Linked DNA regions of Lonchura striata. The main gene of each other region encodes a partner of the protein of the gene in region 2 in a complex. Links are inferred from orthologs where the notes say so. Each region holds a gene or a part of one and is shown on either strand. Other genes may lie near its edges. The genes, in order: UNC79 and UNC80.

What was found.
Region 1: the proteins of UNC80 (region 2) and UNC79 are in contact, whole or in part, in a cryo-EM structure (PDB 7W7G), measured with the Mus musculus proteins. The link is inferred for Lonchura striata from reciprocal best matches to the Homo sapiens genes UNC80 and UNC79. Residues at the interface, in NP_780719.2 of Mus musculus: Gln23, Thr24, Trp27, Ser31, Leu34, Arg35, Pro36, Ala80, Pro83, His84, His87, Ser94, Asn95, Asn180, Ala183, Leu187, Phe190, Leu191, Arg337, Leu340, Gln341, Pro342, His343, Arg1317, Asp1320, Glu1321, Asp1324, His1545, Val1546, Asp1547; in XP_030102533.1 of Mus musculus: Thr120, Tyr123, Ser127, Ala130, Thr131, Leu168, Ser169, Ser172, Met175, Ile176, Gln179, Tyr180, Tyr207, Tyr211, Gly212, Pro213, Ser214, Val390, Cys391, Glu394, Glu402, Phe405, Arg472, Cys541, Asp917, Phe920, Ser965, Glu966, Phe967, Ser968.

The regions. Positions count from the first base shown.
Region 1 is NC_134608.1:15,626,918-15,642,081, reverse strand, and holds the start of UNC79 (protein unc-79 homolog), read left to right. Parts: upstream 1-6,790; 5' UTR 6,791-6,890; coding exon 6,891-6,912; intron 6,913-7,311; exon of another isoform or gene 7,312-8,961; intron 8,962-12,185; coding exon 12,186-12,306; intron 12,307-15,164. UniProt on the Homo sapiens protein: Auxiliary subunit of the NALCN sodium channel complex, a voltage-gated ion channel responsible for the resting Na(+) permeability that controls neuronal excitability.
Region 2 is NC_134610.1:33,680,306-33,695,370, reverse strand, and holds the start of UNC80 (protein unc-80 homolog), read right to left. Parts: upstream 6,689-15,065; 5' UTR 6,437-6,688; coding exon 6,345-6,436; intron 5,017-6,344; coding exon 4,968-5,016; intron 1-4,967. UniProt on the Homo sapiens protein: Auxiliary subunit of the NALCN sodium channel complex, a voltage-gated ion channel responsible for the resting Na(+) permeability that controls neuronal excitability.

The DNA.
Region 1 (15,164 bases), on a different chromosome or scaffold from region 2:
TCCGATAGACCACCCTTTATTTCGTCTTAGGCTACTGCTAGATTCCCATGTGGAGCAAACCACTTTGGAGGAGAGACTAGACAGATTGCTAGCTCCTAGGGAGACAGCCTTCAAATGCAGGAGCAAAGTCAGTCAGCTTTAGTTGTCACTGAGACAGGGTCTTGACCCTGGCATGGGTCACAAACTTGGTACAGGTGTGGTAAAACACCAAGGACCTGAGCAGTGTTGAATTTTGCATGCTTTCTCCTCACTTCCTTGTGGAAAGTCTCATGCCTTCTTTTGCCCTCTGTAACTGTTTTTGCCCAGCAGAGACCTCTTACAAATGTTTTTACTTGAGTGTAGAAATATTAAAGCAAATTAAGTATCTGGTCTTCTTGATTTCTCTGTTCATTTCTTTGCCTTTGGGCCATGATGCTGTGATAGGTTTAAGAAAGCAGTATTTTGACACTTGTCATTCTGATCCTAAAGCATTACTGCCACTATGATGTGCTTTCATTTTAGCTGTGTAGGTAGGTGGTATAGTCAATTCTGCACAAGTCTAATATTAAAGGTAAGGAAAATCCCAACTGTTTGCAGGTGTGATATAATTCAGCTAGGGTGGTGCTAATTTTCACAAACTTGGCATGTTAGTTGGCACAAAGACTGTGCCTCTTAGAGCAGCATATCCAGTCTCTGATTTTATAATAGTCTTAGTGCATCCTTATCAAATTTGTGCTAATTCTTTATGCAGGTCACCATGTATTTCTTAAACTCCACTGCTATGGCAACAAATTAAGTATTTTGTTCACTTAGAGGCTAATGACATTACTCTAGAAGAGAAATTGAGGGCATTTATCAGAGATTTTTACAGTGACAGATGCTGACAAATGTAACAATAAAGCAAACATCCACAGATTTAGTTGACATAATTATCAGAATAAGAGGAAAATTCCAGTTTTGTTAGTACAGTCAAATAACCAGTGTATTTCTTAACAACTTTTTGTTTTCCTGAAGTCTTAATTCTTCTAAACTGGGGAAAGAAAGAACAAATATCAGCATCACAATCTGGCTAATCTGTTGGAAACACAGTATTAGCAATGAGACACAGAGCCCTTTGCTGCTCCATCTCTCACTTTAAAGCAGCCCAAGTCAGTGATGACTGAAATGAATTTGTCACATGCCAGATGGCATAACAGATATGGGTCGGTGGCTTTGGCCAAGCTTCTGGTCACATTATGATCACTTCTGCCATTACTGCCAACTGGTTCTCTATTCTATTCTATTCTAATTCTCTACCCTATCCAAATGCCTATCCTACTCTACACCTTCCTTCTCAGAATAGTTACTTTCCAGCCCTCCCACAAGAGGAAGGTTGGGTTGGTATTTTTTCTGTACATAGTGCTGCGTGATAGTACCACTAAAGGACGTTTTCCTTGCACTTTTAAGTCTCAGCACAGAGGCTAAAATTGGGTATCTTCACCTCAGAAGAAATTTTTTTCCTGCACAAGACTATACAAGCTGTCAGTAATATTGTGTTACTTTTGTGCAGACATGATTTTCTGTGAGCAAGAAGAGGTGCTTTCCCTGCTCACTCTCTTGGCTCGTGCTGGTTGACCCAGGTGTCAGAGCCCTGAGGAACTGCTCCAGGATACATGCTGTAGCCTAGCTCAGTTAAGCCTAACTGCTCAGTTTAATCCCAGATAGACTTTTTCCTCAAGCGATTATATATTTTACAGTCATTCATGAGGATTAATTCTTACATAGAGCAAAGATTTAGAGACAAATTTAATTTAATATGATATAACTATTGCTGTGAAAAACACTCATCTGAGCCTGAGGGACTCCATCTGCTGTTTGAATCTGACAGGGAGGAGGTTGGTCCCTATGCAGGAGCTGTTCAGGGGCTCCAGTTCCATACCAAGACCCTCTCATTGGCATTAGTTCAGCCTTGTAAGTATTCAGAAAGCACCACGTAGATTGAAAAATCCTGTGAGCCAGAGAAACCTGCCTCCTCCTGCTTCAGTTCATTCTGTGTTTGGCTTTTCTTATTGCAATTACCCTTGCCCTCCTCCATGCCACAACCTTCAATTCAGATAGGCTTGTAGAGATTAAAGGAAAAATTTGAGGCATTTCAAACTTGTCCCCACTCCTACTGCAGTTTTTAATATTCCTATCACAATGCAGGTATTGATAATCTCCTGCCAAAAGAGGTGAGGAAGTTGAAATAATTGAGGTATTGGCTTAAAAGAAATTAAATTGAAAGCTAGCTGGTTTTGTTCTGTGTTTTGATAAAACTTAAAAAGCACTTAGGTGCTTTGCCTCTCATTCTTGCCTGTCATTCAGGCATTGAAATACTCATTGTTTCAAACAATGTTTATATTGCATTGGAGTCTTTGAATATGTCAGGCAAGAACTAGTTTTTATTTGAAATGCAAATAGAGACCCATGTAATTACATGACTCAGGAAGCTGAGCCTTTACGGAAAACACCATGAGAATGTTTTAAGTGTTTGTAAGTGAACATGTCTGGATACAGATGTGCAGCTATATATCTGTGTAAACTGATGAAATTATTTATTTTTATACATGCATCAATTCACTTCAATTTATGAACAGTTTAATAAATTTTCTGTATGTGATTCAAGGTAGGAAGGCTTAGGATTTGTATTTTTCAGAAAGGATTACCTTTCTAAAAGTAGATTTGTTAATGCTTGGAGATTAAAAAAAAAAAGGAACATCTTTTTGGAGCTGAATACTTGAAAATGTAAGTCAAAGTGACAATAGTCACATAAATAGTGACTTCTGCTCTTGATTACTTCTTTTCTCCTTACAGGAGAAAATGTCATTTATTTATTCCTGAATTATATTGTAACTACAGTACACACTCTTAGGCAGGCAAAATTTAGTTAAAAGCCAGCACAATTCACAGAAACAATATGTTCCAAATCCCTTCCACACCTTATCTACCTTATCCTGCAAAAGCCACATTTCAAAACAACCAGACTTATACAAGTCCATGGGACATGATAGGATGCACTCACAAGTGCTGAGGGAGTTGGCCGATGACAGTGTAAGGCTGATTTTTATCATCTTTTACAAAGGCCAAAGCTACTGGGAGAGTCCTGAGAAATAGAAGAAAGCAAGAGTCACTCCTATTTTCAAGAAGGACAAGCAGGAGTATCTGGGAAATTATAGGTCATTTATCTTCACCTTGATCCATGGGAAGATGATGGAGAAAATAATCCTGTAAATCACTTCCAAAGACATTAAGGACAGAAGGGTTATTTGGAATAGTCAGTGTGCATTTGCAAACGGAAAACCATGCCTGACCGACTTGATAACCTTCTGCAACAAAATTACTAACTTGGTGTAGAAGGAGAAAGCAGTGAAAATTTATCTTTAGCAAGACTTTTATCAACGCTTCCCATTACATCAGCAAAGAGAAAGTAATGAAATATGGACTAGGCAAGTTGACAATGATGTGAATTGGAAAGTGGCCAAACAAACTGCCAGGCCCAGAGGGTTGTGCTCAGGGGCAAAAAGTCCAGCTGGAAACCAGTGCTGCACTGCAGGGGTCAGCCCTGGGCAAGTGCTGTTTCATGTCTCTGCCCATGACCTGGATGATGGGACACCCTCTGCAGATGATGCAGAACTGGGAGAAGCTGTTGATACACCAGCAGTTGAAGGTTGTGCTGCATTCAAACGTGTCCTGAGAGCTTGGAGATGTGGGCCAGCATGAGTCTCATGAAGTTCAACACGTTAAAATCCAAATCATGCACATCAGAGGGAATAACTAAGCACCAGTACAGGCTGGGGCTGAGCAGCTGAAAAGCAGCTCTGCAGAGTGACGTGGCTGTCCTGGTACACACCAGGTTGACTGTGAGCCAGCAATGAGCCTGCGTGGCAAGAAGGCCAACAGGATCTTGGGCTGCAGTAGGAAAAGCATGGCCAGCAGGTCAAGGGAGGTGTTTATAGTGCTCTGCTTGGCACTGGTTAGACCTGACTGGAGTTCTGTCTGGTTCTGGACTCACCATGAATATACTGGAGTAAGTTGAGGGAAGGGCTAAGTGATGAAGAGACTGGAGCATCTGTCATATAAAAGGGTGCTGAGAGAACTGGGACTGTTTAGCACAAAAGTCAAAAGGTTTGGTGTGGGGAGTGGGTCTTGTCAGCGTGTACAAATACCTTAGGAGAGGGAATAAGAAGATGGAACCACACTTTTCTCAGTGGAGCTCAGTGACAGGATGACAGGCAATTGGCACAAACTGAAATACAAGAAGAAAAAGCTTTCTAATGTGAGGATAGTCTAACCTTTGAACAAGTTGCTTAGAGAAGTTATGGTGTCTTTATGCTTGCAGATGTTTGAAATTTGGCAGGACATGGCCCTGAGCAATTTGCTCTAGCTGACCTTGCTTTGAGCAGGGAAGTTAGAGTAGAAAAGCTCCAGAGAGTCTTTCCAACCTCAAAGATTCCATGACTCTGTAGAATTTCTGCTCATGAACTCAGAAAGTAGCATGCTTTCATTTTCATCAGTTGGTGTGTAAATTTTCCACTTCCCATTCATTTGATGTTAAAAATATATTATTTTATTAATGATTTGTGGGCTTAAGATGCCTGCAGCTTTTATGCGTTCTCTTAATACGTGTGTGTAGAGAGGAAAAAAATCATATGGACATAAACCTTAGCTGCTTAAAATGGTTCCTAGTGGAACACTGTACCAATTCTGTTAGGCATATTCATGAGGATCTTGCTGAGAAACTATGACATTGGTTCAGCCCAGACACTTGAGAAATTAATTCCCAGGGTGCCACATTTCTATATTTGCTGCTTAATGACATTTGTTCACAATATAAAGCATGAGTCTCTATACTTGAATTAACAAACTAGGCAAGTCTTAAATTGTTTGACTGAACAACAGACTACTTGTATAGGATTTATTTAGGGCTTAGACATTGTTTAGACAATGCAGAAGAACTCATAAGCAATAAATTGTTTACCAGGTAGCTGAACTACATGCTGTACTATGTAGGACCTTGTTCAGTAAATGCAGGCATAGCTGCAATTTTCAGACACTTAAACCAAAGAAGAAATTTTACATGAGAAATGGAATTAATATTTTCTCAGTGTACTCCTGCTTTATCAACTTGAGTGTTTTTAATAAGCTCACTACTCTGGTATTTGAACACTTGGTATGATTTAAAGATACTTATGGAAGCTCAGTTCCCCTCAGTGCAGAGAGTTCCCTATTGTTCTGTAATAAGCAATAAAGCAGTTCAGATTGATTTGTTGCATCAACAGACAGAAATTCAAAGATGAAACCTGTCTTCAATATCTTATTTCAATGAAGTCTGAAAGCCATTTGTCTGTATATTTGTCCCTTATGCTCCATGTTGTGAGACATAGGGTTAGGGGAAACTGGTTTGTAGCACCACGTGACCTCTCTGGGCACTTAAATAAATAAAACTTCTAATAAAGGAAAAAAACTTAAATATTTACTGTCAAATGAATGTAAAAGAGCAAACAGTGGTATAAGTTGGCTTCTCTCTGTCTTTGGGGCTAACAAGCAGCAGGGAGTGTGGAAAGATATATGGCCTCCAGTAAGAGCTCTACTTTGTACCTAATTAAGGGGTGTTGAAGAAACATTGCCCATGCACTATTTTTAGAAAATTTCTTTCAGGAAAAATATGAACCAGTTAATGTCAGTGAACAGAATCTGCCCCTTCATTGTGGTTTATGGCAGTGAATGTACATTGTCCCCAAATCGGGCAGCAGTAATTTGGAGGCACTGCCTTGTATGATGAATAACAAAAGATAGCTATTTTCTTCCACCTCCACAGCGCAGTTCTTTGGCTGCCACAGTCCTATTTACCTTACACAGCCCAGCATTTTGAGGACAGTATGTTGCAATGGACTTTTTTGTGTGTAAACATCATGACTCCCATGCCCGGCTGGTGAAATACTGCCGCTTCCACATAGCTTTTTCAGAGGTGTGAGGATCTAAAAAACTGGTATGGAAAGTTTCAGAAAAGAAACACATAGTTTACTGTTAATTTCTGACACCTGGTACGGTCAAGTCAGGACGATGGGGAAGCTGATAGGACGCACAGCAGTGAAATAATTTCTCTTGAAGCAAATGACTTTTATAGTTAATACTGTACTCCCACCACAATTGGACAAAAATCTTTTCAACCCACCGTGGTCCTGGGGCAGTCACCATGGCTGGGATCTGGGGAAGGAGAGGGACACAGTCGGGGCTGAGCGCAGCCCTCGTTTCCTCGGGAAAGGCACGGCGGTCCCGAGGCGCTCGGTGCACGGCCGAAAGAGGTGGGGAAAGCCGGCCCGGAGGCACTGCCTGCCCGCCCGCCCGGGGTACAGCTGCAGCCCAGGGGTCGAGGCGAGAAGGACGCAAGGGAGCCAAGAGCTGTTCCACGCCAGGGATCACACGGATCCCCAGCACAGCTGCTGGCAGTGCCGCCAGCGCTGTCCTCGCTCAGTGTAGCTCCCCCGCCCGCCCCTCCGCAGCCCCGGCCACCCTGGCGGCCCCCGGGGACACCGCCGGCGTTTATCAAGGTCCTCCGGCTCGGCAGCTCCCAACTCGACGTTGCGACAACCTCGGCGGGGCCACAGCGCCGGTGGGGCAGGTGCCCCAGGGCCGCCCCGGCACATCGCATCCCAAGTGCCGCGCTCCCCGTCCCGTCTCGCACGCCGTCCCTCCCGGGGCGGTGTTTGCCGCGGCCGCCAGGCGCGCTGCCCCTTTAAGCGCGCTCCCGCCCGGTCCCGCCCGCCCGCCGCTCCCCGGCCCGCAGCCCTGCGGCACCGGCGGCGGCACCGGCACGGGCGCGGGCACCGGCAGCTCCATCGCGGCCGGGGGCCGGCGCTCCGCGGCGCCCAGGGGCAGAGCGGGGCGGCAGCATGTCCACCAAGGCGGAGCAGTGTGAGTGGGGCCGGGCGGGCTCCGGGCCGGGGTCTGTCCGAGGGGAGGGAGCGCGGCCGGGGGCGCCGTCCCGCCGGTGGCGCTGCCCCGCCGCCGCCCGCCCGCCGCCCCGGCGGGCAGCGCTGCCCGCGCTCCTGCCGCGGTCTGCGGCGGCCGCCGGCAGGCGGTGCAGGGGGAGGGGGCTGCCGGCGTTCTGGCTCTTTCTGCCGGAGCCGCCGCCGCTGCTGGTGGCCGCAGCCCCCGGAGCTCCTCGCTGCTCGGGCGGCCAGCTCGGGGCGGCGGCAAAGGCAGCGCCGGGGAGCGGACGGGGGAAATGAGGGATCGGGCTGAGAGTTCGTACTGAGGCCGCCAGCTTCGCCCCCCGCCCCACGGCGGGAGCGGTCCAGCCTGCCCCGTCTGCCGGCGCCGCGCCGTGTCCCGAAGGATGCAGCCACCTGCGAGAGCAGAGGTGACGCACGCGTCGCCACCTTGCAGGTGGTCTTGCAGTGAGATGGAGCGAGAAGAGCCGTGCTGTCCTTCTTGCCCGCGCCGCTCACCTTTCGGGTGAACGTAGGCTGGGTGTTCGTGTCTTGCCTACAGGCCCCCTGCCACAGTGCCCGGTCCCAGCGGGATTCCCCCAGGTGCTGGCATCCCCCTGCCCGCGGCCAGCGAGCCTCTGCTTGGTCGCGGGTGTTGTAACCACCATGTTGGCTAGAGCTGATCAGAGCATCAGGAGATGACATGGTGGTTGGGGTACCTGCATCTGGGCTGTGGAAATGCTCCTCACTGTCGTTTCTCATGACACCTGGTTTGTCGGCAAGAGCCCAGATGGGATGCTGAAAATAAAATACTGGGGTAGTCGAGCTCGTCACCCATGTCAAAGCTACTTTCTTGCCTGATACAGTGTCATGGTTATGAACATGCAGTCTGGGACCAGGAGGTTGGATTGATGTTTGTCATGATGATGTGATGTGATTTGACACTTTGCATGCTGAGACTTGCTCTCTTCTTCCTCCAGGTCACTGAGAAGGATCCTTGTGTTTATATGTGCTTATGGTGAACAGATCTAACAAAAAGAATACCTGTATTTTTCTTTTCTGTTAGGGTTTACTGCTTATTTACGATGATGGATCATCTTGCTTTAAAAATATTCTGCAAATGTTAATTTATTGCTGTAAAGATGGAGTTCTAGTATCTTAATTAGAGACACAATATTCTGATGTGCAGAAGCCCTGAATTGTGCAATGTTTGGACCTGTACCATTCTGTTGTTGCTTCCATCCCCACCTTGCACCTGAGTTCTATAATTGTTTCTTCTCTTGTGTGATACTTGCACATTAATTGCACTTCCTTCACACTGCCATGCAGAAGAATTTGTGCTACTTTTTGTCCTAGCACTGGCTATGACATTTTCTTTTCAATTCTGTCTTCTCTGTTCCTCTATTCCTAATGCTTTTGGTCTGCTCTGTTTGAGCTTCTCTTATGTATTTTATCCTTGGCTGTTTTTTCTTTTCATCCCTTTGTACTTTTCAAGACACTGCATCAAAGCCTACCGTGTCCCTATGGCTCTCTATTTTAAGATTTACTTCGGGTCCAGATTTCAGATCTTTCTGCCTTCCAGTGTCCCTTTTTGTGATACTCTAGGCAGAGTATTTGGTTAATGGACATATCCTGTACATTCTAACCTGCTGAATGTATTTTTTTTACCAAGGCTGCTTCCCTGACTAGTTCTTATGGCATTACCAAATGTCTTTGTCTCTACATAATTTCAAGATTCCCTCACCCGCAATTTTTGAGTAATGGACTCTGACAAGGATGTGTTGGTGTGCATGCATCACTACCAGTCAAACTTTCAAACCCCAGCTGTCGCTGTTGTTGCTTCTGCCCTCACTGAGTGACAGGCAAGAACCAGAATGTCTTGGGAAGAACTCAAGTTACAAGTCATAATGAATTCTCAGTTTACCAAGAGCATCAGTGAAACACTGCGACTGAGGAATCACTGATTGGAACAGAAGATAAGCTGGTCTAATCATGAATCCCACAGCTCTTGGGCAGGTTCTGTGAACAACAGGTAAAATGGTGTCATTCTGGAGGTTAACTGGAGAAGCTGCTCTTTTTTGTGACCACATGCATCTTGTATTGCATACCAGATATATCAACAGTGACTTTGATCACTTGACTCTGCAGCATGCCTGAGATGTTCTGTAGTATTCAAAGAAAATTAATTATTTTTCACCCTAAAAAGCAGTAATTGGAGTTTAGTTGTGGTAAGTAATGTCCTGGGAATGCCTGATGCCTGCTCTGTTACCCCCCAGGACAGTGGAGCAACCAAGGCCATCTTTGAGGACACTTAATGGCTTCACTCTAGGTTCATTCAATGGTTACACAGGGGCTGAGGAGTTTAGTGAAGTCTGTGTTGATGCTAGAGAGATACCTGTTTGGTTTTGTGATGACCCTATGAGGGTGGCCAAGTGCTTCCACAGGGTGACATCACTTTTTGAAGTGTGTCTCTGGGTACTCAGAAACTCAGAAAATTAGGCCATTTGCACACTTGCTGTAACTTGAATCCTGGCAAAGTTTTTGCTCTGGGGCTTTCCTTCAGAATTTTCTTTGTGCTGTGGGAAGCTGTGCTGAAATGGACATTGTTTTGGGAAACAGAGCTGGGAAGTGAGGCTGAAACCTTTAGCTTAAAGCTAATGTTTATATTTAGACTTTATAAATAAGTTTTCTCTTTTGATATTTGACCTGATACAATTGCACAACAATGCCAATTAATAAAAATGAATGGATTTTCATGTTCATTAAAAAAAAGCTGTTCTAAGTGATTTGAGATACCCTATGCCCTTTATTGAAAATTAGTAACTGTAGGGAGGCACACAGCTCTCTGAAATACATCTAGATCTGAATTGTGTAATAATCTTTGGCATTTTGTAGTCCATTTAATTTACAGATATCTGACAGCAAACCATGATAGCCACAGTAATCTGTGCACTTGCTGTGAATTGTTCTTAATTGGGTACTGCCTTGCATAGTCTGTGTCCTTTACAGATATACTTGGTTTCATACTTTTTTTTTCCCTGACCAGAGAAAGTAACATCACTAAATACGTTTATGAAATCATTACTTTCTTAATCTAGAAACCAAACTAGATTAGTTTTATGGTAGTTAAAAGAAATGTCTACCTTTTAAATAATCTGATGAGACAGCCTGCAAATCTGGGACTAAAACTGAGATTAGTGGGCAGAAAGAATGAGGTGTGAGATGAGAAGGGGAAAACAGTCTTGGGCTGCTCAACTCAGCCTCTGTAATGTGGAGTGAAACACATCCTGCCCAGATGTTCCTGGCCCAGTGGTTTGGGGGCCATACACGAAGCCAGCTATGGCTGCTGTCACACAGGATAAGCTCCTGCAGAGCACTGCTCATGTGCCACAGGCCTACGTGGTGGTAATTCTGATTTCAGTTGTTTGAGGGAGAGGGGAAAAAGTCATGATTGTTTTTAGTTATTCATTAATTGTGAAGTAAAAGGCTTAAAGATGAGGAAATGTAATTAAAGATGCTTATGCATTTTTAGTGTGTTGCTTTTGCATATGCATTATGACAGTGTCCATGGTTGCATTTTTGCTTGCTGGTTTCACACAGACCCCAGTCCTTCCGTCACATGATGGGCTTTCTCAAGGAGAAAGCCTTGTGATGAAGCCAGGTAATATCATGAGGGAGACTTTTGTCTGCAGAAGCTTCACTTGCTGCAGGAGCTGGGGAATGCCCTCCTTACAACAGGAAATGAGTTAAAGAATGACCTTAGTTGGGTGCTGTAAGTCTGGATTTCTTGTCATGCGTTCAAGAAAACAGTTTTCTTCATTTGATGATTATTTGAGTGTTCATCATTTTATGGATAATTGACTTGAGATTGTCAAACCTTATTTGTTGTGTGGCTGACCACTCAAGGAGTCTTTTGTTTTCTGGATGTGAAAGTCCAGTGTGTACTGTTACCTATAGTGGCAAAATGGCTCTCAGTATCTCAAGCTGAGCCTCCAACAATATTTGCAGACACTTTGCTTTTGGTGTCTGTCCATCAGTCTTTTTCTGCAATACGGGTACAATGTCACCCCTTCTCATTCAACTTGCCAGTGGCACAGAAAAAAATAGAAAATTCATGAACTGTTCAGCTATCTCAGCAGTGAGAGCCATAGCAATGTCTCCCAGGTAGTTAGTACCTTTCTGTTCAGTGGAAGACTTAATGGTATTTATTGTTTAATAAATGCTATTTGACCATGAGAATAAAACCAATAATTGACTAATTGCTTGTTTAGGTAGCATGATTTATCTTCCACACTGAGGGAGCCCGGTAGGGCAGCAAGGTATATCTTCGTCTAGTGAAAGACTGTTATAATCCATATGCTTAAGGGCTGAAAGAATTCAGAAGCATCTCCCCTTTTAACTGCCTGTTACTTTTAACATGATGAAGAGTTCCCAGGCAGCTGTGCTTTCATGAGGCTGTGTCTGCAGTGCAGCACAGCTGAGCAGCCCTCTGCCCCAGCCACTGCACTCTGTCTCAGCAGAGCTGGTTAATCTGAGTGGAGCAAGAAGAGCTGTGTGTCTGTAGATGTCTCTACAAGAGACTGCCTTGTGCTGTACAGGCAATGTAAGGCTGTGCAGTTATGGGGGTAATCACTTTTTCCCAATACTGAACAAGGATTCCTATTAGAAAATAAACCCAGTGTTTACTTGTAATACAACAAAAATTGGTTTCAGTGGAGATGCACACCTCCTGCTGCTATTTGAAATCCCCTTATCTGCTTGATTGCACTTCCTAAGACAAATAAACAGCAGCCACTTTGCTCTTCTCATACCTTTAGTTCATTGCATAAAGTAAATGTATGGCCCACAGTAAATCACATAAGGTCTCTCTGTCTTAGCTTATATCTCTGCTTTGGCTGTAGAAATGCTTATCTGTCTCACATGAACCTCCTGTGATCCAATGACTCATTCATTATAAATGACTCTTGAGATGCTTGGAGACATGGACAAAGTGCTGACTGGCAGTATATATTTTTTAATTTGCTAGCACTATGTTTGCCTAATACAGATGCAGAAATTAACTTCCATGTGATCTCCCTGGCACTCTTTTACAATTTATTCAGTCAGAACAGAATGAGCAGAGAGATTTTTTTCTGTTTTTTGAGTTTAATATTTAAATTAAAAAAAAAAAAAAGAAAATGAAAGTCATGACTCTGTCAAAATCTGCAAAAAGCCTAAATGAAGGTTTTTGTGTTTTTCTTTTTGTCTTTTATGTAGTTGCTTCCAAAATCCGTTACCTTCAAGAATACCACAACCGGGTTCTCCACAACATATACCCTGTGCCCTCTGGAACTGACATTGCAAATACTCTGAAATACTTTTCTCAGACCTTATTGAGGTAAGTTTTGACTAATGCTCTTGAAGAAAAAAGAGCTAAATAATTGTAGGGGATATTGATTGGCTTTGAACTGGTTGCCAGATTTAAAGGGTCAATGGTCAGCCAAAAAGAGTCAGAGCATAATTTAAGAAAAACATGGTATGAACGAATGTCTTCAGTGGCTGTTGCCCAATTTGCCCAGTTAAGCCCCTTTACTGAGTGGCTGATTCTAGAATAAACTTGGTTGATTATGCATTTGCTTGGTCCTACGGCTTAGCTGAACGCACAAACATGCTGAACTTGTGAAGAAAGGAGTTTGTGACCTATAGAGTTTTAGATGTGTATAATCATGGCCTCCTTGAGAGTCCTGGTGCCTCAGAATCCCAGAGTGGAGCCAGACGAGCAAGCAGAACTGGTTTCTTACTGTGCTTGGGTCAGCTCTTCTGGGTTCTGGTTCAGTCCCTTAGAGCAGACAAAGTTTGTATACAGATCTGGATTTAGATGGTAACAACACATCAGGATTATTCTGATCCAACGTTTTTTACTTAGTCTAATGTTTAGTAATAATATATAGTGCTACATACCATGTGACTAGAGAATACATTACGAATAGGAAATACTGTGTTGTCTTCCAAAAAAATAGGAAAAAAAGTGAGACTTTATTAGGAATAATGTACACTCCGCAGTGCTGCCTAGTGGATTCATATTTCCTGTTTGTTTTTAAAATGGCTTTTGACCATGCAGAGGGGATTTTATCTGCTGGTTTTGCCTGGCACTAGTTTTCACATCCAGAAGAATGCAGTTCAAATTGCATTTCTATGCATAGCTTCCAGATTTATACCTGGAAAGATTGTCCCTGCTGTCAAAGGGTAGTTTGGAAATACAGCTATTTGCCTTATTTGAGGAGGAAACATTAACAAAATACAATTGACCCATATGTTTGTACATATACTCCTATGATATAGACAAGTTGAGAAGCAAGAATTTAAACTTGAGAGAATGAGAACAGTTCATTCTAACATTCAAAGAGCCTGGGATGCATCAAAATTTTCTTGACCCTATTTAAAAGGAGAGACAGATAGACAGAAATACTTTTTAGTGGAACATCTGTTCACAGCAAACTTGAAACCTCCTGTTTACTTTTGAAAATTTCAAGAGCAGAACTGTTTGTTTCCCTCCTCATTTAGACTGTTGAAGAAACTTAGAGCAGCCAGTAGGACTTTTTGTTTGAAGGTTAATAAATTAAATTTTGTCTCATTGAATTGAGCAGTGGGAAAAATGTTCAAAGAGTCACAAAAGATACTTCTGAACCATGTCTCTGTTCCCACATCAGGCTATTATGATGGACTATTTGTACAACACACACTTAAATTGCATTTAAGTAAGATTATTTATGACAAGACAGCTTTTGCTTAAATACATGGAACCTTTAAGCTGTTAAACAAGAATGTTGGACTTGATTCTGAATGTTTTCTCTTTTAGCTGTAATTACCAAGTGCTATAATGAGATATGTTTCTTTTTGTTCAGAAGTTCCCTGGGTCAGGATAGATTTAGAATGTTCTGCTTAAAGAAAGCAGAACATCTTTCTGCCACTCTGTGGTCTTCTTTTATAATGTACAGCTGACCTGTCCTGTTGATAAATTCTTCAAACTCCAGGAGTAGTGATGTTCCTGGGCTTACTGAAATAGCTTTATACTTAGCAACTATGAGAGCAGATCAGAAATCAGGGCAGCAATTGCACAGTCAAGCAACTCCATTTTTTTTATTTCATGTTCAGAATGGGACTGAACCAAAATCCTCTTGTTGGTAATGCTGAACCCCATGGGGAAGAAATGATACTCATGTCTGATACACAAATGGCTATGTCCTTCATGATCTGGGATCTGATTAGCCTCAGAACTAAAAGGGTATGAGAAATTAATGCCAGGGCTTGGATCTAAATTTAAGTGGACTGAGTTCTGATACTCAGGCAAGGTCAAATTCAGATTCTAAACCCCTGTAGCTGGGGAGTTTGAACTGTGGGTCAAAGGCTGAGTGCTGTGATAGGACCAGTGTAACTTTATACACTTGCTGATACTAAGAAAGAAGATGGATAAAAAAGCAAAACAACACACCCTGTATTTAGTGTGGCAGATGGAAAGAAGGAAACTCCCACCCACTGTGTGCAGATCTCTGGAAGATTTACCCTAAAACTAAACAGACTGGTTAAGAACCTTTCTGAAGAGCATGTTCAAAAATTTATTTGAATATTTTTCATGCTGAGTCTCCTTTCTGCCTCCTACACTGAGACTCCATTGTACATGGTTTAACATCAGCAATAGAAGTACATGGTGGAGAATAATCTTTCTAGCTTAACACAGAGCATATGCAATGAATTTGGGCTGTTAGGGACAAACAGTTCTTGGTGAACATGTATAGTCATAGCAATAATGAAGGAATAGTCGGAGAAATTCCACATAGTGATTGGGTTTTACAGAAGTAAATTTTACTGTTCATTACACTTTTACCTTTCCGTGTTATGGACACTCTGACTGTGTTCTTTTCAGTGGGATGTGCCCACTGTTTTGAATCACATTCATATGTGGTGTTATTTTGCTGGCTAAAGATGATTGCACAAGAGACTAATTTGCTCCTTTGCTCTGTATGCAGCCTCCATAAATTTCAAGCTCAGGGGTGGGGGGAGCAGATGTGGAATGACTGAAAAAAATTCCGTATTTCTATAACAAACATCACATAAAATCACCATATACAATGCATAGCACATTGACTCATTTAGTTCTTCTTTAATTTTCTCTTTGGGAAAAGCATTTCTTTACATTACAGCATGAATTTGTTTCATGCCCTACTCATTTTCAGTGATTTCTCCCTCATTTGAGGA
Region 2 (15,065 bases):
GGCTTCTTGAGGATTAGTCAAAAATAATGTGCCATGGACCATGTTATCAGCAATATGTGTTTCTTAGCACCAGGAATGGATAACCTGCCTACTAGAGAAGGGAGGCTTCAAGTCTCCCATACAGTGACCTGCTAGGGGCCACAGCATCTGAAAGGAAAAGTCTCCTGCCATTCTATCCTATCAGTTCAGGAATGGGGCAAAATGAAGGGATACCAATGCTTTGGAAGCCCAAACAGGGAGCAAAGCACCCATTGTAAGGACTGATTATTCTGTTCCAGTCAGGATTCACAGAGGACAGAGAGTGCATTAGTATAAAGACAACAGAGGTTTAGAGTAAATATCCCAGTAAATGGATTATTACATAACAAAATAAGGGAGTGAAGCAGCAGAACAGGAGGTGCATAGTTACAAATACCACGAAGATTGAAATAGCCAGTGAAAAACATGAGGTTTTATTTATTTTTATCAAAAGAGGACAGGGACCACTCCTTAGCCATCAGTCCAGCCAAACACTCCTATTTCCACCCTTCCATTGGCTCTGGGGCTCAATGAATCCTTCATTCAGCCAAGCCAAGCCCCTGCACAAGCCAAAAGGAAGGTCAGAACAGAGGTAAGCAGTTCCTACCCATGTTAGTGAGCTGGATTAGCTCACTGAGAGGACTGCCAAGCACCAGTGCTGACCAAGGCTTACGGAATTGAATTATCTCACCTCCAGCACAGAAGCCAAACCATAAGCTCACACTTTAGTAGAGTTGACAAAGCTATTCAGTTTGCAGGGCAAGGGGAGAAATAAAAACACCAACCCTATTCTGAAGTGCAACGGAAGACACCTTGTTGCTCCCTGGCTTTCTAGTCAAGGTCTCATTCCTGGGTATTTCAATGGCATCAGGTAGAAAGTTCCCCAGCAATTGCCTTCTGCAAGCTCTGTCCCACTGTCAGCATGCTTCAGAAACTCAACAGGCAGCTAAGAAGTTTGCAATTTTATGTTTAGATTAGGCTTGTGTTTATTAAGACATTTTGGGCTGCTGAGACCTTGTGAAGATTTCCCTATGTGGTTAGCCACCAGATTCTTCTGTTCTTTCCAGGCCTGAGCAGAAAGCTAAGTATTTCTGTACTGCAATGAAAGATTAGCTTCTGGAATAGCTGATGTGATCACAAGCATCTGAAACAGAAGTACCATATGTTGCCAGAAAAAATGCAAACACAAAAGCTGCTGTATGGAAACCACTGGATGTCCAACAGGAACACGCAGTTCTTTGGACAAGCCTTCCTGTGGAATCTGCCTGGAGTTCTCCATAAAGGTGCAGCTTTCGTCTATACCAGACACTCAAGATGCAAGGTTCTGTGTTGCTCCTGAGCCTCCTTTTCAGTGTGCTATGGCTCTTCTCTTTCAGGACCTGCTACAGGGGCAGAAGACCTAATTTTTACCTTGCATGAATTAAGAACTGCTGCTACAGCTCAGAGTTCCATGCTCAAATAAGAAGGCTGAATGAGAATGTCTGAAAAAGCTTCCTGTGAGTGAGTCAGAAGACAGATACTGTCATGCTCTGGGTACATCCAGAGCCACAGCCTCAGGGCTCAGGGCTCCAGCTTGGCTAAGAAAAAACCTACTTACAGCAGGCTTGTTCAAGCCTGCAACACCCCACACACACACCAAAGGCAGATGAAGAACATCTACCAAGGGGATAGAGAGGGAAGTTAGTGCCTTGGCTGGAGAAACAGTCCCTTTCAGCAGGGTTGTGTGTGTGTTCAGCTCCCTGAGGACCACTTACACAAGCATTTTTCCTTTTAGCCTGGTGGTGACAGCTGTTTTCACAGGGAATGGTGGCCAGCCTTGTCTGGCTGCCTTCCCACTGCTGCTGTTCTCCTTTTACCTTCATCTCCACCAAGAGCCAAAGGCACTGCCAAATACCTTGTGACCAGGATCAGCCTGTGGGTCACTGTTTGCTTTGTCCTGTCCCTCTTGTCTAGGCATCTTCAGGCTATCTGTTCCCATTCCAGCAGCATTCTGCCTGGGCTTTGTCATGGCTTCCTGAACAGCTTCACTTGAACTTCCCTTGCTCTAAGCCCAGGGAAGCTGTACCTGCAGTGAATTGCATAAGGCAGGAAGAGGTCAGCCAGGGGGTGACAGAGGGTGCCCAGAGGTTACCTTGGGAAGCTCAGCACCTCCTGTTACATCCTCCCAGGAGTGCCAGGAGTATCTCTACAGGATTACCCAGTGCAGGCACAGAAGGACCATGGCAGTACCACAGAGAAATGGTTAGTGCTTCTTGAACTCAGCTTGTGTCCTTGGTGGGGACCTTAATGCCCTGTCCTTCCAAAGCTCAGCCTGCATCATGGAGGAAAGCTGAGACTACTGCTGAAGTCACTTCAGACTGACTGGAAAGAGCCTGAAGTGCAGGCAGAAAGTGCTGTCAGTCTGGGGCAGGTCCACTTAGCAATGAAGAGTTCCTGGAAAGATCTGGGAATCTAGGAGTTCATAACACAAGGGATGGTAAGACTCCATTGTTTACTAAATATAGCAGTAGTATAAACATTGTGAATAAACATTCAGAAGTAATGAAACACAGATGCCACACACTTTACTCACAGAAATTCACATTTCTGCAACCATGCCCATTGTCTGGATAAAATAAAGGTGGCCTCTTTCTGAACTTTGTTCCATAGCTATACTTTAATTATCCACAATAACAAAACATGTAATTACATTTTCAAAAACAAGGGGAAAAAACCCACAAAAAAAACAAAAACCTAGAAGAGAGGGAAACTAAATTTTCAGGATCCTCCAGAAAACATTTGAGTTCTTCCATGGCCAATGAAAACCAGAGCAGAAGAATTTAAGCATACCTTTGAGTTCCTTACCATCACCCAAAAATGCATTGGCTTTGTACAGCACTCACATGCTTTCCTGTGAGGTCATTCACAGCTTTGACTCTGGCACATCAGGGATGGCCTCATGTCAGGGCAGAACAACTTCAGAATGGGGGAGTAGGAAGAACATTAAACCCATACTGAGGCACAAACATTTAGATGTTGTGAGATAACTATTCATGGTTCAGGTAAAGAGAACAATGCAATGAAAGGGCCAAGTTTTTTTCCTCAAGTATTTTGGTATATAGCAGACCCCAAATAAACAATGCAACATGCTCTTGCAGACCAGATGCTGCACTCACTGAATCTCAGACTCCAACATCTGCTTCCTCAATGCACAACAGGCAGCAAACTCCACTGCAGCAAGTTTAGAGGCAAGAAAAACAATAGAATACTGCACAGTGTTGTGTCATATGCACTGCCAGACAGTTAACAGCCCATAGACATGCCTACAACAATTCTGGCTAGAGAATTACAAAAGGATAGATCATGCAACGGGTGCACAATATTTTTAGGCAGACTAGTCAATACAGGGGTGTTAGATAGTCAGCAGGAGGTTTCAGAAGACAAGTCAAGTACCTGTCAAGTTCCAGAATCCGCCTCACCCATGCATGCAGCACTCTGCTGCCTCACTGGATAATACAGAATGGGCACACCAGTAGGCAGAGGAAACAGATGAAGCATAAGGCAGCCAATGTGTCAGTTCAGCCTGTTACCCAAAAATTCCTCAAAGCTAAGTTCCACCTTTGAGCAGTTTCTACCATAATTTAATGATTATGTTAAGAACTTGAGAATAATCAGGTTCTTCATCCAAGAGGTGGAAATTTATTGGATGTTTATGAAATGCCTGTTTTCAGAGCTCCCTTTCTCCTGGCTGAAGCGTGTGATTTGGGTTGTCTCACAATTTAGAGGGTTTTTAGGGTGTAGTTTGTTTTTCACACTTAGTAAATTCCAGTATGTGCTCCCAGAAGAAAGGTGCTTTGCAATTAGCCTCAGGGACCTGATGCCAACAGCCCAGCAGGAGGCAAAAGGAGTTACAGGCAGAGAGGTACATCACAGAGAAGGAAGCTCTGCCCCTCTACCCACAGATGAAGCCACAGCCCCCAGGTTAGAGGTGCCCCAAGGCACAGCTCCTGGTAAAGGACAAACAAGTTCCATTTTCCAGCCCCTCAACAACCAGATACTGTCAGTAGGCATTAACCAGTCATCACTGCTGCATATGCTAGAACTGAACATTTTACTCACCAACACACTAAGCCAGCAATCCCATCTCTATCTGGTATCTAGCAAAAACTCTGAAAAATTTATGGATTTCTTAGAAGAAAATGACTCAGCAACAGATACAGCTTCTCCAGCATAATGCCTTGTGAGAAGGAAGTCAGAAAATTGCTGCAGAGCGACCTAAGAACTTTAAACTATTAAGATACATGTCCAGACCAAATTTTTCCACTCTGTCAAGTTTGGCTGCAACTGACTATTGTACTTTAAGTAATCCAAAGACCAGCAACCATTCAAGGAATTCTCTAGATACCTGTCTTATTTGAACTTACTTCATGTCTTCTTGTTTCCCCCCTTTTTGGCAGTAACTCGAGGCTTTATTTGAAGTACATTTAGAAATCAGAGTTATTTGTATCTGCATAACAGCCTTTTCTTAATAATTCTGATAAGATACGCTCCCTCTAATTTTCAGTAGAAATGTTTCCCATGTTGTGCAATGGTAAAAGTATTGTTGAAAGTCTGTTAATATTGTTTAGATTTTCCATATTATAAGCTTGAAAAACCATCAGGAATTGCAAACTGAAATGACATCAATCTCATGCAAAAGCACATCCACACAGAGTGAACTGCAAGGTTAGACCCACACTGTCATAGCTCAGTTTGCCCATGTCATTATTTATTTCATTACTACAGCATTACTAATGAATTAATTATTACTAATATCCAAATAAAATTTCAAATCCTTCATGTGATAGGAGTACAAAATGAAGCTGAATGGACTAAATCCACTTGTGGAGCTGATCAGCCACTATGGTCAGATTGATCTGCATGACAAGTTAGTTACTAGCAAGCATTGAAAAAGAAACACACGTACGTACCACACAGGAAGCTTCATATTGCTTCCCCAGTTTAGGTCTTAAAAATGCACTGAAAGAAAGGAGAAGCAGCATTAGAGACCCAGTACATCAACATGTATTTTTCTTAGTTATTTTTAGGATTCCTCTCATGTCAGAAGGCTATCAAAAGGCTGAGAAACTCATTGCAAAGGAAGACATAAGCCAAAACTATGTTAGATACCTGTTGATGACATCTGATAAATGCTGTTATCTTTTCCAGAAGAAAAAGTACCCACCCTGATATGTCAAGAGGTATTTAATTCAGCCCACACATTCCCAGGGATAAAATCTTCCATCAGACAATTTTCAGCCATTTTACCTCAGTGAAAGATTTTCAACATATCCTCTTTAAAATTTGTTACATATTACTGAACTTTGCCTTGCCTCTTTTTTAAGCCAGAGATCAACTTGCCATCTCTGTATTAAATATTTTTTTTCTGCACAGCTGCTGATGTGGAAGGCTCATGGTGAAGTGCAGGCCTGTATGCTGCATGTCGAGAACACTCACCCTCTATCACTCTCCTCCAGAATGAGATCAGAGTAAATATTAAAAAAAAAAATCAGGTCACCTTATTGCAGGCTTGGTTTTTTTATTTTTATTTTGAAGGACACTGGCTGTGGCAAAAGGGGATTTTGCGACTGAGGCCTTAAATTAGAGCCACAACCTTCAAATCTTCCAACCTTCCCCACTGCCCCCACAATGTTTTCAATTTGGAATCCTGCTAGGACAGGAGCCTGACAGGATTAGGAAGGAACATAGAGCACCAGCCATACATTCAGCGAGTCCCTCACTCTCCAGTCCAGTGAAATAAGGTGACACTTGGACATATCTGCTTGCATGCCAGCCTCTCAAAGCACGGATTACACCGCCAGGACAGCTGCAAATACAGACAGAAGCAAAGCTGCAGGTCTGGCGCAGCACTGATGGATGCTGCTTCTGCTACAAGAGCACCATGAGTTCTCTTAAAAGATGGGGGATGGAGGGGAAGGGGAGCACGGGACAGGGAGGAAGGGAAAGGTGCATAGAGAAACGGACATGGATGGTTTAAAGTCAAATCAAGAAGCTGCCTGGGACTTCCACTAGGTTAAGCTGCCTTGAGACCTCCCTCCTCCCACACCAGATGCACACAAATTGCTCTATACTGAGTAAAAAAAAAAAAAAAAAAAAAAAAAAAAAACACAAAACCCCTAATCGATTGTTGTTTTGATTTTTTTTTTTTTTTTTTTTTTTTTTTCACTGCTTCACATTGCAGCTGCAGTAATAACTGCATCCTCCGTGCCTCCGGGCAGCAGCTGTCCCGCAGCCCCTCCGCACTTCCACTGCCCTGTTGCAGGTGCATCCCAAGTGCCTGCTCTTACCTGGTCTGCCTCCATAGGAAGGTCTGGATGGGCAGAGGGATGCCACGGCCGCTCTCCTGCTCCTGGCCCTCGGAGCTTTTCCTTTTCACCATGATGCTGATGACAGCCGCTGCAGTCTCAGCAGACGCCCCGGCCGGGATCTCCCATGGCCGCCTCTGGCTCTCCGCAACTCTTCACCCTCTCCCCTCCGCTCCCCGCAGCCCACCCCTCCCTCGGCCCCGCTGGTGCAAGATGGCTGCAGGAGGCAGGGAGGGAATTCGGGGGAGCGAAGATGTCCGCGTCCTCCAGCTTCCTCCGTGCCTTCAGCACCTCCCTCTGTGGCCAGCTCCCCGCGCCCGGAGCGGGCGGTGCCGGGGGAGGGAGGCGGCGGAGGCGCCGCCCGCCAAACTTCCCGCACCGCGCCGCCAGCAACAGGGCTGCGCTCCGCCGCCGCGGGGCCGGGCCGCCGGGCTCCGGCACTCCCGGGGCGGCCCACGGCCCCCGGGCAGGGACAGCGGCTCCCCACAGGGGCCGGGACACAGGCTCCCCACAGGGGCCGGCACAGCGGCTCCCCACAGGGGCCGGGACACAGGCTCCCCACAGCCCGGCCGGCACAGCGGCTCCCCACAGGGGCCGGCACAGCGGCTCCCCACAGGGGCCGGCACAGCGGCTCCCCACAGCCCCGCCGGCACAGCGGCTCCCCACAGGGGCCGGCACAGCGGCTCCCCACGGCCCGGCCGGCACAGCGGCTCCCCACAGGGGCCGGCACAGCGGCTCCCCACAGGGGCCGGGACACAGGCTCCCCACAGCCCGGCCGGCACAGCGGCTCCCCACAGGGGCCGGCACAGCGGCTCCCCACAGGGGCCGGGACACAGGCTCCACAGAGCCCGGCCGGCACAGCGGCTCCCCACAGCCCGGCCGGCACAGCGGCTCCCCACAGGGGCCGGCACAGCGGCTCCCCACAGGGGCCGGCACAGCGGCTCCCCACGGCCCGGCCGGCACAGCGGCTCCCCACAGCCCCGCCGGCACAGCGGCTCCCCACAGGGGCCGGCACAGCGGCTCCCCACAGGGGCCGGCACAGCGGCTCCCCACAGGGGCCGGCACAGCGGCTCCCCACAGGGGCCGGCACAGCGGCTCCCCACGGCCCGGCCGGCACAGCGGCTCCCCACAGCCCCGCCGGGCAGGGACAGCGGCTCCCCGCCACGATTCCCTCCCTCTCTACCCCCTTTCTTTACCCTCCCGCTCCCTCCCTTCTTGCTTCCCAAATGGGCAGAGAAGGGAGGCAAGTCACGAACCCCCCCTGAAAGTGCAGATTGGTGATGTTGGGAAATGGATTTGTAGGGAGTTCTCGAAGGCTCACGCAGTGTGCATCTCCATGCAAACTTGGAGAGAAGAAGTGCTGACTTAGAAATGCCACGGAATAGGACGGACACTGTTGAGAGAGAATTAGAAGTAGAAATAAGTTTCAAAGGATGGCCTTGCAAATAAGATTAGATGCTTTGGAGAAATAGATCAAAAATGCATTGTATTAGAACCCACAAGAGGTAATTTTTGATGATAAGATGATTTAAGGCATTTACAGCATGGCGTAGCTAAAGCTGATAGGCCAGGAAGTGTTTATATTGTATTGTAAATAGGAAATAATTGTCTTCTAATTGTGATGGCGTGAATTATAACATCTGTATTGTCTCACCCTTCACATGAGACTAATAATAGAAGAAAAGTTTTAAAATGCCTCTCAGTTGCCCCATCTCCGGGTCAGAAAAGGGCCTAATCCAACAGGTGTTGGGAGCAGAGGAACTTTGGGGTTGTTATTCCACAGATTTTTCTTACACAGAAAAGCTGAAACAGAGGTGGGAAGTACCAAAGCAGATTTACTGGTGTTTCCAATTAGACACCAGGCTGATTTGGCTAATTCAAGTGTAGGTTTGAATTAGTATTACTACAAATATTTTTCAGGCACTGTTAGATGAGCTCTCCTTCTCTACCTAAGGATATCAGAGGATACTACAACAAATAATAGAATAAAATGGAAGACCAGTACAAGTTCATCCCAAGCAGTTCTCACAGGAGAGAAAAAAAAAAAAAAAAAAAAAAAAAGTGACATTCTGTTGTTTATATGAAAACTTTTTAGAGGAAACAAATAGCTTTGAAGTTCAGGATTATTTTTCTTACTCTTTATTTGTGCATAGCCAGTGCCTTGCCCTGTCACAAACCATTAGCAAGCAGAGGTCACATAGTCCAGCACTGAGAGGAAACTAAATCACTACTTGGAATTTTGTTTATGATTACTTTGTAGTAACTGAAAATGGAACTGCAAACTGCAGTTCTGGTCAACCAAATGGTCTACCATTTGAGTGCAGCACATTGCTCTCCAACTACACCCAGTCACAAAAGATACATAAATCCCTTTGTACAGAAGTTTGAAGCTACAGAACTTCTGATGCAAAACAAATCAGAGAGCAAAGGAAACAACAACAAAAGAAACATCAAGTCACAGGAACTGCAAGCATGAAGATGCAGACCTTAAATCCAGACAGGCCATCTGGAGGTGGCAAAGGTAGCTCACATTAAGTTTGACAGTAGCCAGAGACAAGTTTTGTTCTCACCTTATTTTGGAGACAATGCCCACCACCACGAAGGGCACACAAAGCTGAAGTAATCTGTATCTCTGTGAGTAAAATGACTTGCATGTTTAAGAGAAGAAATTTTACCATCTGGAAGATTTTATTTATCTCTATACTGAATTTCTGCTGGCAGCAGAGGCTTTCAGGTTTGCAATCAGCATTTGACCACACCTAAATACTAACACTACAGTGGATGCTACAAAGGGAAAGTCCTGCAAATCGGTCCCCTGCCTTCCCTCACAGTGAGGGTAGAGAGAAAAAAGTAGATTCTTCAGAAAGGCCATTACAGCAAAGTCTCCTGAAAATTCACCTGTGCTCTGTTCTCTAGGCTACACTGGCATCTTGGACTGGCACAGAAACATAGGTCCATCTGCCTGCAAAAAGATCAAAACTCCTGCAACAAGTCAAAGCAGGTGAGGGAAAAGTGGAGAAAGCTCTGTGTTACTCCAACAGCTCCTAGCCCATGCCAACTGCTCAGCCACTGAAGATGCCCTTGACACCAAGCACCCACTTCCTCTCTCACTGCAGGCAGGAGCCTGACATGCCTCCAGATTCTGCTTGATCACTCCTTTATTCACCAGTTATGGTTACAATCCAGCACAGCAGGGTCTAGTCTTGATCCAGAAACAGCCAAGGCTGGCAGCATGGCACAGAGTGGGGACACAGAGCAGAAGCCCCCACCTTATACAGGAGTGCTCAGAGCAGGGAACTGCTCAAACCTCACTGCCTTGCACTTGTTTCCATGGTTATGCTCTCCAAGTTCCCACTCTCAATCAATCCCTGCCATACACACTCCTAGGAATTCACATCTTAATTCTCTGAACTCTCCATGCAGAATCCAGGCTCTCAAGAGTATGTCAAGCCATTCTGTTGTGCAGCAGCCTTTCCAAGAGCAAAGCTGCAAACAGCTCCTAAATGCAGATTCCAGAGCAGGGAAAAAAAAACCATTTGCCACACCCTCGAGATCTTACTCTTCCACTGTCTGCCAGCAGGCTTCTGTCCTGGCTGAACAGACCCATCATGAAGGAAAACCTTTTCTCCCTGGGGACAACCAGTCACAGAAGATTAGCACTGATGGATACCACTTGTTCTACCCTTTCCCATATGGGTCTGTCAGGTAGAAAGAATGTAAAAATTTAGAGAAGCCTGGGAAAGCCCTGTTTCTTCTTTAAGGGCTTTTAAACAGCATGAAAACTTCTCAACTAAGGTTCTTCAGTAGTCTCCTTCACAGGTCTTCTAGCTAGCCCTGCTTAAACACAACACAACTGTGCTCAGAAACAAGGATAAATAATCCCTGTAACTGCAAGGATCTCCTAAAATTACAGGTGTTGCTGCATGAATTTGGGCAGGAGTGGACTGCAGTTCAGCTGGACCAGATTCCACAAGAAGAGTTAGGTATTTAATCCCTCAGTCACATTTAGGTAAAACCAGTCGAGTAGCACAGCACTCATCCATCTAAGAATTCTGTTTCAAAGCAGAGCAGAAACACAGGCCCTCCACACCTCACACAGTAAGTTACTGCCTTTGCATGAAGTTCAAGCAACAAAACATATTCAAATAGACATTTAACTGCAGCTACATGCATTACATGCATAACAGACAGGGCAGGATGGGAGGGAACAAAATCCTGGAGATTACATGGGGGGATTATCTGGACAAAACCAGGGGGAAAAAAATAACACCTCAGCTTTCACTGTCAAATTATCATCCCTTGGCTCAGGATTCTCCACGCTCTGTAGTACCTGAAAGACTTTAGCTTTGTTTGGAGAAAAAAAGGCAACAGACCTCCTCCCCTCAAAATGTGCCCTACCTGAACTTTTTAACCTTCTTCCTAGAGAAGAAAGCATGGATCTTTTGATGCACGGAGTTACCAAACATGCCTTCCTCTCTGTTCCTCAGAGAGAGCTGAGCACTGCCACGTTCCCACCCCAGGTCTCAGTTCTCAGTCCCTTTCTGCCCCGGCTAGCTCTCCAATGGGGCGAGAAGGGCAGATGGAAGCACCCTCCGCTGAGCCCAGCAGGGCTTTGGAGAGTGCTTTGTGGGTCTGATGGGCGCAGCTGAATCCCACGGCTTGGCAAAGAAGAGAGTCTTGTTAGGGGCTGAAGCCAAAGTTTATTGCAGCCCAGCAGGGCCCAACAACCCCCGAATGATGCCAGCTAACAAGAGCCCCAGCAGGCTGCTTGCAACATCTTATATACTGAGAGGAGGGGACTTGGCCAGCCAATAGGAGCACAAGGGGAGTGACTATTGCATTGACAGACACATATGGGAACCAATGAGGGATGGATACGGGCGGGGCCCAGGCCCCTGTCCAATCACCCGGCACTGGGGATGGAAGGTTCTGGATGTATGGGCGGGGACACCGAGTGATGGACAGGGTGCCTGGGAGGGGCCAAGGGAATGACTCAGCACTTTAGGGGATGATTGACACCCAGGGTAAGGCGGGAAAACAGGGACAAACCAAGCTGAATGTAGGGGTACATAGGAACAAACCATTACACTTGAGAAATTATAACAAAACATGCAGTAACACGACTCCACAGAGCACCACCTCACCAGTATGCTTCTCTGTCCAGAACAAGGGTGTTCACACAAAACCAGGTTTGGGATTCCCTCCACCAGGGCCACACTGCTTTTTAATCCCAGTAACTGGGACTTCTGCATAGCCAAGCACCTTTTTTTGCAGCGCTTGTTGCCCAGAGCAGCAGCAGTACTCTCAGCAGAATGCTGCCCAGAGAAGCTGTGGCTGCCTCATCCCTGGAAATGTTCAAGGCCAAGTTGGACAGGACTTGGTGGAAGCCAGTCTAGTGGAAGGTGTCCCTTCCCGTGGCAGGGGGTGGAATGAGATGAGCTTTCAGGTCCCTTCCAAACCCATCTATGATTTCTCTGTTCCACCCAGAGCACAGAGCCACACTCCCCTCAGCCTGAGTTCAGGCTGGGACTGACTGAGCATCCACCATGGATCCACGATGACACACTCCAAACACCCCTCAAAGTCTGCACTGTTCCTGTTCGTTACCAAGATGGACCCAAAAGCTCACCCCCAACACCCATCTCCTGTCACCTTCACCACCCTGGCACTGTCCACGTGCTCCTGCTGTGTCCAGCCAGCTGAGGGGATCTGCAGGGCGGGCAGAGGAGGCTGTGCCACATGGGCAGTCCAGGGCCACCATTTCACCATTTCCCTGGTGTTCAAGGAGCCTGCGGGCCGGTGTGTGGTTGTGCCACATGGGCGGCCCAGGGCCACCATTTCACCATTTCCCTGGCGTACAAGGGCCCTGAGGGCCGGTGTGCGGCCGCACTTCACGGCGCTGAGGGGTCACTGCGCCCAGGCTCCGCTGCTCTGTGCAGGGTGTTGCTGCACGGCACCCCCAGAGGTCCCTGATCCGGGGGCCTGGATCACGGGTGCACAGGTCCTGACCACAGAATCACAGGGCTGGTTTGGTTGGAAGATCATCTCGAGACCTCTGAGATCATCGAGTCCAACCAACACGATGAACCAACACCGCCTTGTCAACCAGGCCATGGCACTCAGTGCTACTTCCAGACTGTCCTTAAACCCCTTCAGGGACAGTGACTCCACCTGGCAGCCAGTTCCAATGTCTAATCACCTTCTCAGAGAAGAAATTTGCACCCAGCAGGGAGATACTGATCCGCAGAAGAGGATGCCAGCCATAAAAATTGATCCTTTTGTATAAAAGTGGAAGGGATTGGCTGAACAATACAACTGGATCTGCTGTGACTGCTCTGGGGCAGACTGAGGGCAGTACTGCACGTTGTGCAGGGTTTGGATTCAGGAGGAGCTGGATCACAAACATAGGAAGCTAACACATACAATTAGATGACAAGCGAGTTTATTTTGCAAAACAATCACTATACAGCAACAAATACAATTGCAAATCGGATTGAAAAACATGAACTACCTACCACCAGCCATTCAAGAAATGCCTCTTTTATGGTAACAGGCTCTAGAATTATCAGAAAAAACACAGGTTTGTAACAGCAGACTGTACTCCTTGATATCCCAGCATACAGCATTGTTTACTTGTTGGCTTTTTCTCTTTGCTAAAGTTGAAGTGGCTTTTATACACTTGACTTTTCCCAGTGTGAAACTAATTTACCTTCCTGCAGTGGGAATTGCTGGAGTTGCAGAGGGAGTTGCTTTAGCAATCTGACTAGTGAGTGAACTCACAGACACCTAGGCTAGAAATCTACCAGCACTGATTTTCACAGCTAATGTGATCTACTCTTCATGGCATTTGCCTTTGAAGGGACATACACTTGGGTTTCAAACAGTATTTAGTCCAGCATGGAAAAAACTTCTGCTCATGTGGTAGTCAACACAGGCTGCCTTTTGACTCCCTTTGAGTCATGTATTTAGGCAAACTTAGACGTGTGAGCAGTCATGATGAGGTTACTACTGTACCATAGCAGAGGGCTGAATGATTAATTCCATTTACTGCTGTACAGTGAAAATATATATTGCCCTTGTGGGCCCATAATTTTCCTCATCAGGTTTAGTTTTTCCTTTACTCTTGCTGGACAGAGGTATGATCAACTTTGATTTGTTTCAGCTTGTGGTTACATAGAAAGAAAACTCTGCAGATGAGGCAGAAGCACTCTCTCATCTCTACAACCTGATGGATTATTGAATTTGGGGTGCTCCCCTAGGTACCCAAACAAGGTTTCACCATTCCTTTTGTCTGGATTACCTCTGCTTTGTTACACAATTGGGTCTCAGGCACCCAACAAACCTGCTGGCTCAACATGCCTGTGAAAAAGAAACATAACAGATGCAGTTTCCAGGAAGCTGGCTCTATCTTCTTTAGTGGGCATTACATATTTACAAACTGTTGTTTTTAAAACGAACACTCTTCTTGAGAAAGTTAAGATTAATATGAGCTTTTCAGTGAACATCTAGAGTCATGTAACATAACTTTTTTTTTTAATTATTATTCAAAAGCACAAAACTCTTAATTTCTTTTCATCTAACTCCACAGCATTCTAGGATTCTTTCTATGGAAGGATGATAACGATTACGAAGGTCTTTGCTTCAGTCAAAACAAGAAAGCTCATTTTAATGCATGAAATAAATGACTTGGTGTGTTACACACTCTAGCTTTGGACTCATAGGTGGATTAACTAAGCCTTATTTTCTAGATTATGCCAATTTTAAAAGCAGAATAAAAAAAACACTTGAGTCTCAGGTTAACACTGTTCCCATGAGATGCTGCTTGGGTTCAGAGAGAGGTTCAGTAGTACCATAGCTTTTCTCCTACACTGGCAAAAGGCATAGAAAGAAAAACCACTGCAAGGCTAATTCATATTAATTGATAGCATAATCAGAGCAATGTGATACAAATACTGTCAGTTTTCCTTTCTGTTTGTTGTTTTTCTGAAAACATGGGAAGAAGATTTTAATGCACCTCACTTGACACTGTTTCCACGTGAGTTCTTTAAGCAGAAGTGTAACAAATACAAGGCAGAAATCAGAATCCTCCAATTGCACTTGGGATGGTTCTAAAATCACTGTCCTTTGTATGAAACAACTGACTTACAAACAGTGTTAGTTACTTTATTGTGTGAAAAAGCTTTTTGCACAGCAGAAATGTCATGTGTGGGGCTGTCAGAAGTTCTTATTCAGTAAAAGTTGGAGAGATTTAACCACTTTATTTTGTGGTGGTACTGCTGTAGCAGCTTAGCCAAAACCCCACTTTGGTCCACTGAGTATTTACTGTCCAGTAACTGCATTACTACCCGAATGTAATGATGGGGAATCCTGTGCCATTAATTTTTAGAATCTCCACAGACATAAAAATCTCTGTGAGTCTTTTCAGACCAAACCCCAACACACACACACACACACATAAAAATTAAGAAGGAAAAAGAACAGATCAAAAATTTCCAAAACACATCATTAACCTGATACATATATCAAGTATAGCTCAACTGACAGTGCAAAGTTCAGTTATGAGGTTTCAAAAGGAATAGATAAAACAATCTGCAAGAATGTAAACTGGTCATTCTTAATGTCTCATGTACATAGGGCATCAGCAGGTGATGATGTGCTGCTGAGGATCATCCCCATCACCAGTGCTCTCTCAGGTAACTCCAC